Macaca fascicularis: one gene and its partners. Each later gene encodes a partner of the first gene's protein in a complex. Links are inferred from orthologs where the notes say so. Each region holds a gene or a part of one and is shown in the gene's direction. Other genes may lie near its edges. The genes, in order: DDX46, SF3B4 and SF3A2.

Region 1 (3,654 bases):
AACAAACTTCACACCAACTCGTACCAAGCAATGTGTTTTCCTCCTAAATTTCATTTTTTGTTGTAATTTTCAGTCTGACTTGGGTCTTGATTCTTCCGTTTCTTTTCCCTTCTGGCACTCACCTTCCCCACATAGTTTTATAATGTTGTGGTTCGTGGCTAGTGGAGGTAGAGGATTTAAATTAGATATGTTGCTATGACTTCATAGCCATAGCCTTGATTCTTTCCTTCCTGTCGTGAAACTGTTTCTGCCTCTCTTTCTGTCTCTGTCTCTGTCTCTCTCTCGGGACAGAAAAGTTACTTATTTCTAATACGGGGGGAAATTTTCTAATTTATTATAAATCTTTCCCTCATTTGTGTTTTTTAATATACAAAATGATAAAAATATAGCTCTCTACATTGCAGACCCAGTGCTCCTTTTGTTCTTAGACATTTCAGTCTTTAGTTTTCTTTGATTAAGCTCTTTTTCTCTTCTCAGCGTGCAATGTGGTGCCTATCTGTACTTTCCTACTCACTGGCATTGTCTATTGGCTCCAGATTCTACCCAGCCTACCCTTGATGGCTCTCTGATCTCTGCCACTTCTAAACTTCTAGTCCATATTTCCATTGACCTCATTTATATTTTCAACTGGATGTCCAATGAGCACCTCAACTACAGCAATTTTAGAATTAAATTTCACCCAGTATCACTATCCAAAAAACACTTGTTTTTCCTCCTGGAATCAATATATTCTTTTATTACTTCTACCTTTTTTCACTTGCCAGCCAGCTCTTAATATCTTGTTTCTCTTTTCCACTGTTCACATCCCATCAGAAAAAATATCTTGTCCATTCTACCTCAAAAATGTGCTCTTGTGATGGTATAAATACAATATTGTGAGAACACTAAAGAAGAAAACACTTAACTGCCTCGAAGAGTCAGGAAAAGCTTCCTAAAAATGGTATTTAAAAGTGAATTTAGTAAACTACTTCCTATTCATCCTGTTGTAATGTCTTTACAAGTTTGTTTTGCTAATCTGTATGCTTTTAAAGAGCATGAATTTGTTCTTTATATATTAAATCTCTCACAGTATGTGAGAGGCAAGTGCTTAATTTTTGTGAAATTAATAACTGTGAATGAATGTCTGCAGCCTGCCTCATCTAGTCAGCTATTTTGCCGTGTTCTTTCACACATTTTTCCAACCAGGCTACACTTCTCTTACTCTTCAGCAATTAAGCATGCTTGTCTTAACTCTGTACCACTACATATGTAATTCTCCTTGCAAAATACTCTTCCTGGTATCTTTCCTCCCTCCAAGTGGCTAGTCCTCCTTTCATTTTAAAGATTTTGTTCGTACGTCACCCTTCTGAAACATTTGCAGACTTCAGTGTAAATAATAAATGTCTAATAAATACTTGCTAAATGAATAAACCAAGGAAGTTATATTTCCCTGTAGCCTTCTCTTACTATCTTCTGGACAAATCGCTAATAGTCTTTTTATTCCACTCTTTTTAGTTACCATACTAGGAACTCTTAACACATAATATGACCTCAGTGGTTACATTTGAAACTCTGAAAGTAATCAAAATCATAAGCAGCCATTATATAATGTGGGTAATGTTCCACCAGGCATTAAATGGCCATCTTGGCAGGCAGTACAATGTTTCTAAAAGTCACCTACAGTGTTTCTTCCTGGACCTCCATGATATGGGTAAACACAGTGTAATTTTAGTAATGTGAATAAGATGCTTTCCACTCAATCACCAGGTGCCAATGAACTGGCTGTGCAGAAAGCAAAGGCAGAAATCACCAGGCTCATAAAAGAAGAGCTGATCCGGCTGGTGAGTGAAAACCTTAAAGTTTCATTTGTTTTGTTTTAATAAGTGTTTTATTGAAATATAAATACAGACAAGTACGCAAATCATAAACATATAGTTTGATGAATTTTCACAAAGTAATAAGCATACCAGTGTAATCACTACCCAGATCAAGAAATAAAAAACATTACTAATATCCCAGAAGTCTTCTCCGTGTCCATTCTTATCACTATTCATCTCCCCGCAACAAAACTGTACCTTGAATTTTTTTTTTTTTTTTTTTTTGAGACGGAGTCTTGCCCTGTCATCTGAGCTGAAGTGCAATGGCGCGATCTCGGCTCACTGCAACCTCCGCCTCACCCTCCTAAGTAGCTGGGATTACAGGTGCCTGCCACCACACCTGGCTAATATTTTGTATTTTTAGTAGAGACGGGGTTTCACTATGTTGGCAAGGCTGGTCTCGAACTCCTGACCTCATGATTCACCTGCCTCGGCCTCCCAGAGTGCTGGGATTACAGGCGTGAGCCACCGTGCCCAGCCCCATATTGTGAATTTTAAAATCATAGATTAGTTTTCCTTATTTTTGAACTCCACATAAGTGGAATCACGTGTTTGCACCTTTTGCATCTAGTTTCCTTCAATCAACATTTTGAGGAGATCGGTCCGTGTTATTGCATGTAGCAATAATTCACTCATTTTCATGGCCATATAATATTTATATGAATGTATAACAGTTGATTTATATTTATATATTGGATTTGAGGGCTATTCCTTTTTTGTTTTTATGAATAACACTTCTGTGAACATTATTCCATGTGCATTTGGAATATATTAGCATGATTTTTTCTTGGGTATATACCTTGGAGTAGAATTGTTAATTATAGGCTAGGTATTGCCAGATAGTTTTCCAAAGAGGTTACATCAATTCACACTTAATCAAGCAGTGTATGAAAATTACAGTTGTTCTACATCTTTGCCAACACATGGTGTTGTCAGTGTCTTTAAACTTAAACAATGACTTAATTTGATTTTGGAAAAAGCCCTTTACAGACTGCCTTTGCAGTGGAGGTAGATATGTCCTTGTGTCTTTAGTGCCGGTTGCAGCTTATGAACACTCCCTACAGTGTGTACATTTCCTTTGAAAGGAAACGTCTTTTCTCTAAGTGTACTTCTGAGAGCTTTTCTAAAACTCCCCTCAGAGAGCATTCCTTTTTTTGGCGGGGGGGTTAGAAGTTTAATGAAAAGAGGGTTCAGAAAACAAGAGGGAAAAAGTAAAACAGCTGTTCAATCACGTGCTTAAGACTATTTCAACAAGGAGTGATAGAAAAGAATCTTGTGCCCATAGATGCTACCACCATTAAGTTGATTTCAAAACATAGTTGTTAAGGAATAGTTAAGTGAACAGAGAAATCATTAGTTATTGAATAGTTTTTCCTTTCTCAGTGCAGTAATATTAACATTTAAAATTTTAAATAACCAATAGTTTTACAAGTTAGCAAAAGAAATGATCTTAAATATTTCCCTTTTGGGTTTGTTTGGTTGGTTGGTTGGTTTTTTGTTGTTGTTGTTTGTTTTGCTTTCTCTGATGACATATCTTTTATTTCCTATTACAGCAAAATTCATACCAACCAACAAATAAAGGAAGATACAAAGTCTTATAGACATCCGGAAAAAAGATTTTTACCTCTGCTGGTCTATGATAGATGTGGCAGTTGCAGTCTGCAGTTTACAATGTATTGTAAATTAAGATTTTTAAAAATTCTGTCTTGCTGATTTTTTTTAAATACAAGAAACTAGTATTTGGTAAAGAAATCTGTCCGTAAGTACCCCCACAATCAATCAAACTATATTTAAAGCC
Region 2 (3,754 bases), on another chromosome or scaffold:
CCTCCAGGATGAGCTATCCCATCTTCAGGAGCTATTACGGAAATGGACACCAAGAATATCTCCTGAAGTTCACTCCAAGAAAAGAGATCCACATACCATTCTCAATCCCACTGAAATTGTGGGCATTCTCAAAGGCAGGGCAGAGGGGGATCTGGGGTAGAGGACGGTTCTGTCTAATCCTTTTTTTTTTTTTTTTTTTGTTTCTGGACTTGCAGCCTCAGCTTTCACACTCCAGCCCTTAAGTTCACTAAGAAGGTCTGAGTTTCTGCTGCAGATGGTGGTGTTAACTGCTGCAACTCTTGTCCTGTCTTGCTTAGTTCCTACGGATATTTTTGTTTCTTGTCATTTGAAAGATTAAGAAACAAAAACAATCCAGAAATTGATCGGTTTTTTTAGACCAATTCCATCCCTTCTGGATAACCAGATGTTAAATCGTGAGATCAGAGATGCTGTTCATCAGTCCCAACAAGATGGCCTAGAGATCGCATTCTCACCTCGCCTTGCTGCTGCTTTAATTCCAACTTCTATTTCTTCCCTTATAGTTTTCTATGGGAATGAGGCGGATACAGGAAACACCCTGTCTCCTGTGTATTTTTGTAGCGGAATTTTCTATTTAAGGGGCTCATTAAAGCATAGTATTTATACACATTACTGGCATTGTTTCTTGTGTTTGAATAAAGGATTCTCCTAGGTAGGAAAGTGGTGGGTAAAAGGTGGGTATGATCCAAGAGAGGAAAGCATCTACTGTATTATTGCTAAGGAAATAGGGGAACTGGATTTGGTGAGACTCTGCAGAATTCAAGTGCAGTTTGGGGAAAGGATTCTGTGTGTGTCTCCCATTTAGAGGCAGATGGGGCCAGATTGTTCTAGAGATCCAGACTGAAGTCTCTGAGCTCCGATCCTATCCACCCCTCACCTGTGGTCACACACCACCTTGGAGCTGCCCTCACCCTCCCCATGCAATTACGACGAGATGAGCGCAGACGTCACTCCAGCTCAGACATTTCGCAGTCTCCTCCCCTGAGGGAAAACCAAATACCTCCAGCCCAAATCAGGGCTGTTGAGGCCAAATCTGCAAGAAGGTTGCAGGCGAGATGGAGGGTTCCCTCTGCGCCTGAAAGCAGCCAAGTCCTCGGGTTGGGGGGACTCTTCAGCACATCCTTCTCTGGACAACAAAACATCATCACTGGCTACAAAATACATGAAAACTGAAGTTTTTGTTCTTTTAGCTTTCGAATTTACATTTTTGGGAGCAGTGTGATTCTTTCAAGTCTAGCAGTGCATTAAGACGGTCTGAGCCACTAGCAGCGGCACCTCTGCGCGAGTGCCGAGGACTCCACCGCTCAACCCGAGTTAAGTCTTGGAGGATCCTAAAATGGCTGCAGCCGCTTCCAGGCCCCTCCTCTTCCGCGGCTCCGCCCACCGCTACGTCCTCCTTCGCCCCGGAAGTGGAAGTCGTGCTGAGGTCAGAAGGCGGAACCGCTGCTGGGAGACGGCGGGAGCTCTTTCGCCATGGCTGCCGGGCCGATCTCCGAGCGGAACCAGGGTAACTGGAGGGGGAAAGTCTGGAATGGGCTCAGCGTGGCTAGGAGGCCCCTACTACAGCCAGAAGTGCCTCTGCAGGGGTGGGAGACTGGACTCATCCATTCCCCAGAGGGCGCGAGACCGGCCCCGTGCCTCCTGGGGGCGGGGTGGCCAGGTGCTGGCTGAGGCCTGTGTGTGTGATACTTACGTCCAATCCCCTGCTGAGTTCTCACTCAAAAAAACAAAAAAATCCACTCAGAATACTAAATTAGACTTCAGAGGATTCCTGAAGTCCTGGAGAGAGAAGTTTAAGGGTTTAACTTTTTTTTTTTGCTCCTGTCCCCTACCCGCGTCCCCAGTTCCCCCGGTTGGGTTCCATCTTCATGTTTCCATCACCTCCTTCTTTCATGTTATACTCTCACCCTTGCTCTAACTTTCTGCTCCCTCCCTTCAGATGCCACTGTGTACGTGGGGGGCCTGGATGAGAAGGTTAGTGAACCACTGCTGTGGGAACTGTTTCTCCAGGCTGGACCAGTAGTCAACACCCACATGCCAAAGGATAGAGTCACTGGCCAGCACCAAGGTGAGTACATGACAAGGGGCAGTTTGCTTCCGGAGGGTCCCGGCAGTATTCACAACTGTTTTGGAATAACATGAGCAACCTAAAGTATTTCTTTCTTTTAAGCCTCTGTTCAGTTTATTTCTGGAACCATTCTTAAGTGAGATTGTTTCTTTCTTGTTCTTTGTGATTAGAGGGTAGATGAGTTTTACCCCATTTTCAATCTCTTATGTTGTTAACCTCCTCTTCTCCACTTCTCCAGGCTATGGCTTTGTGGAATTCTTGAGTGAGGAAGATGCTGACTATGCCATTAAGATCATGAACATGATCAAACTCTATGGGAAGCCAATACGGGTGAACAAGGCATCAGCCCACAACAAAAACCTGGATGTAGGGGCCAACATTTTCATTGGGAACCTGGACCCTGAGATTGATGAGAAGTTGCTTTATGATACTTTCAGCGCTTTTGGGGTCATCTTACAAACCCCCAAGATTATGCGGGACCCTGACACAGGCAACTCCAAAGGTTATGCCTTTATTAATTTTGCTTCATTTGATGCTTCGGATGCAGCAATTGAAGCCATGAATGGGCAGTACCTCTGTAACCGCCCTATCACCGTATCTTATGCCTTCAAGAAGGACTCCAAGGGTGAGCGCCATGGCTCAGCAGCCGAACGACTTCTGGCAGCTCAGAACCCGCTCTCCCAGGCTGACCGCCCTCATCAGCTGTTTGCAGATGCACCTCCTCCACCCTCTGCCCCCAATCCTGTGGTATCATCATTGGGGTCTGGGCTTCCTCCACCAGGTAAAGCTTTTGGTTAAAATTTGTTTGTCTTAAGGTTGGGGGAGAGAGTCAGGAGGAAGAAAAAAAGAGCCTGAAAGGGGGATGGGACATGGAGTCAGTGAGTGATGGGAAGAGGACTGAGGGGTGATGGTAGTGGTGGAGAAGAAAGTTGTTGGGTTTCTTTAGGAGGGTGAAGTTGGTTGACTTTTCTAACATTGCTTTTGATTTTAGAGCACTGGGAGGAGGGGGAAAGAGCTCACCCTGCCCAGAGAGGCCAGATCAGGACAGGCTCTTTAAAGACATTTTCTCCTCACTACCATTAACTTTTCCTTTTTCCATTTCCTCTATAGGCATGCCTCCTCCTGGCTCCTTCCCACCCCCAGTGCCACCTCCTGGAGCCCTCCCACCTGGGATACCCCCAGCCATGCCCCCACCACCTATGCCTCCTGGAGCTGCAGGACATGGCCCCCCATCGGCAGGAACCCCAGGGGCAGGACATCCTGGTCATGGACACTCACATCCTCACCCATTCCCACCAGGTGGGATGCCCCATCCAGGTAGGTGTGCTTTGTTGGGAGGGAAGAGCTTGGTAGAGCATCTCTGTTACCTCTCACCCTGCTGCCCTTTGTTCCTCAACAGTAACAGTTTCAGAGTTTCCTTTCCTTCAGACATTCTATTATAAAAACATACAAAATACTCTCTAACATCCACCTCCCTGTATCCATTTCTTAAGTTTTTCTGACAAGAAGACTATACTTGCTGGTTTTTATTTCTTTAACCTTTAGTTCCATTCTCTTCTCTGACTCCAGCTCAAAGTGGTGACCTAATTGCCAAATCTCAGGGACACGTCTGCTCCTTATCTAGTTTGACCTCTGATGTACTTGAAA
Region 3 (2,335 bases), on another chromosome or scaffold:
TGCATGCCTGTAATCTCAGCTACTGGGGAGGCTGAGGCAGGAGAATCGCTTGAACCTGGGAGGTGGAGGTTGCGGTGAGCCAAGATCGCGCCACTGCACTCCAGCCTGGGCCACAAGAGCAAAACTCGGTCTCAAAAAAAAGAAAAAAGCAGAGGCATGGAGTTGTTGGTAGGACCCCAGCCAGGGACAGTGAGGAGCATGACAGGAAGAGAACGTGCCTGTCCTATCCCTGTTCTCAGCCAAACCCCAGGGCCCCTCCCAGGCCCCTGGCCCTCCTCATCCCTCAGTTTGTAGTGAGCTCCAAGGTCAGGGGGCCCGTGGCCTTGGTGCCTGTGTGTGGAGGGGCCCCAGCACCACGTCCATCCTGCCTGCAGGGCCCGGCGAGCCGCCAAGGAGGCCAAGGAGGCCCCTGCCCAGCCCGCACCTGAGAAGGTCAAGGTGGAGGTGAAGAAGTTTGTGAAGATCGGCCGCCCAGGCTACAAAGGTGAGTGCCCGGAGCGGCGCTGGCCACAGCCGCTGCTGCTGCATGAATAGGTTCTTTGGGCTCCAGTGCAGGAGGCGCAGCCCTGAGACCCTCATTCCTGAGCCGCTGTTTTCTGGCCTTGGTGGCCATCCCTCACCCACCTGCAGCCTCTGGCGTTGTGTCTGGGAGCTGTCAGGCTGAGCCCGATAAGCACCCGTCTCACCCAGCGGCCCCTTTCCCAGCTGAGCCACAGTCTGTGCCCTCCTGTCCGAGTGTTGTGGAAGCTTCTGGGGAGTCTTGCCAAGCCAAAGAGTGGAAGTGGAGGTGTGGTGAGCCCTGGCACACTCCTCCGGTTAACCTTGAAGCCTCTGAAGGAGGACAGGAAGAAGCGGCTGTTAGAGGCGGCTCCTCCGGGACCCTCAGCAGTGGGAATGGCAGGAGGTGACCTGGTTCAGAAAGCCAGGGAAGTGGCCAGGGTGGAAGAGACAGACCTTGTGTCTGTAGGGTCAGGAAGGCGGGCACGCTACCCAGCAAGTGTTCTTTTTTTTTTTTTTTTTTTTTTTTTTTGAGACAGAGTCTCGCTCTGTTGCCCAGGCTGGAGTGCAGTGGCGTGATCTCCACTCACTGCAAGCTCCACCTCCCGGGTTCACACCATTCTCCTGCCTCAGCCTCCCGAGTAGCTGGGACTACAGGCGCCTGCCACCTCGCCCGGTTAATTTTTGTATTTTTAGTAGAGACGGAGTTTCACCATGTTAGTCAGGATGGTCTCGATCTCCTGACCTCGTGTTCCACCCGTCTCGGCCTCCCACAGTGTTGGGATTACAGGCATGAGCCACCGCGCCTGGCCCCAGCAAATGTTCTTTACGGAAGATGGGGACAGCCTGTGTGCCTGGCCTCCAGACAGGAGCCTGCAGGGCACAGGCCCCGGGGCAGGTGCGCTGGGTGGACGAGGGTGGCTAGAGCGGCAGACTCCTGGTGGGGAGGCCCTGACAGGTCCTGAGCTTGGGCTCAGGGCAGTGAGGAGGTGGAGGGCTTGTGAGTGTGCGTGCCTGAGGCTGCTTGGAGAGTGGCCAGGCCGTAGGCGGCCCAGCAGCCATTCTCGGGGTCCAGGCTGCTGAGCTCTGGTGGGAAAGGCATCCTCTCCCGCTCACCCTATAGATGGTGTTGGCCCTGTTCAGGCGGCCCCACTCTAATCCCAGAGCCAGGGTGCCATGGGCCGCTCCCTACCCAGTGGCCCCGACTCCTGCTGGATAGTGTCCCAGCACCCTGGGTGAAGGGCTCTGGGGATTAGGACAAAGGAGTACCACCCTCGGTCCCTGCCCGAGTGACTCCGCAGGTAGCTCAGCCCTGGCGCACCTGTGCCTTCACCTATACCGGAGTCCCAGAGCCTGGGCGGATTGGCGGTTGCCTGGAGCCACAGGGCCTCCCCTGGGGTCTCGCCCTCATTCAGTGGGTGGCATTAGCCTGCCCCAGGTCCCTCAGCTTTGGGGAGGACAAGCAGCCGGGACCTGAGAGCTTTCTGTGTTGCAGTGACCAAGCAGAGGGACTCGGAGATGGGCCAGCAGAGCCTCCTCTTCCAGGTGAGATCAGGGGCTTGGGTGTGGGGGGCGGCCGAAGGCACCTGAAAGGTGGCGCTGCCACCCGGCTGTGTCCCCACAGATCGACTACCCTGAGATCGCCGAGGGCATCATGCCACGCCACCGCTTCATGTCTGCGTACGAGCAGAGGATTGAGCCTCCGGACCGGCGCTGGCAGTACCTGCTCATGGCTGCTGAGCCCTATGAGACCATCGCCTTCAAGGTAGCATGGCTGCGGGGTCCCCTGGGCCCCAGGGCCCCCTGAGATGTGCGAGCCAGAAGGATCTGCACAGGC

The links.
Region 2: DDX46 (region 1) and SF3B4 share a complex: the UniProt entries of both Homo sapiens proteins name them as parts of the 17S U2 SnRNP complex. The link is inferred for Macaca fascicularis from reciprocal best matches to the Homo sapiens genes DDX46 and SF3B4.
Region 3: DDX46 (region 1) and SF3A2 share a complex: the UniProt entries of both Homo sapiens proteins name them as parts of the 17S U2 SnRNP complex. The link is inferred for Macaca fascicularis from reciprocal best matches to the Homo sapiens genes DDX46 and SF3A2.

What each region holds. Positions count from the first base shown.
Region 1 is NC_088380.1:141,369,576-141,373,229, forward strand, and holds part of DDX46 (probable ATP-dependent RNA helicase DDX46), read left to right. Parts: intron 1-1,746; coding exon 1,747-1,820; intron 1,821-3,409; coding exon 3,410-3,457; 3' UTR 3,458-3,654. UniProt on the Homo sapiens protein: Component of the 17S U2 SnRNP complex of the spliceosome, a large ribonucleoprotein complex that removes introns from transcribed pre-mRNAs.
Region 2 is NC_088375.1:111,351,951-111,355,704, forward strand, and holds the start of SF3B4 (splicing factor 3B subunit 4), read left to right. Parts: upstream 1-1,468; 5' UTR 1,469-1,512; coding exon 1,513-1,546; intron 1,547-1,978; coding exon 1,979-2,107; intron 2,108-2,345; coding exon 2,346-2,888; intron 2,889-3,217; coding exon 3,218-3,424; intron 3,425-3,754. Other genes in the region: MTMR11 (myotubularin-related protein 11), read left to right, coding at 1-160. UniProt on the Homo sapiens protein: Component of the 17S U2 SnRNP complex of the spliceosome, a large ribonucleoprotein complex that removes introns from transcribed pre-mRNAs.
Region 3 is NC_088393.1:2,904,272-2,906,606, forward strand, and holds part of SF3A2 (splicing factor 3A subunit 2), read left to right. Parts: intron 1-374; coding exon 375-484; intron 485-1,993; coding exon 1,994-2,043; intron 2,044-2,122; coding exon 2,123-2,263; intron 2,264-2,335. UniProt on the Homo sapiens protein: Component of the 17S U2 SnRNP complex of the spliceosome, a large ribonucleoprotein complex that removes introns from transcribed pre-mRNAs.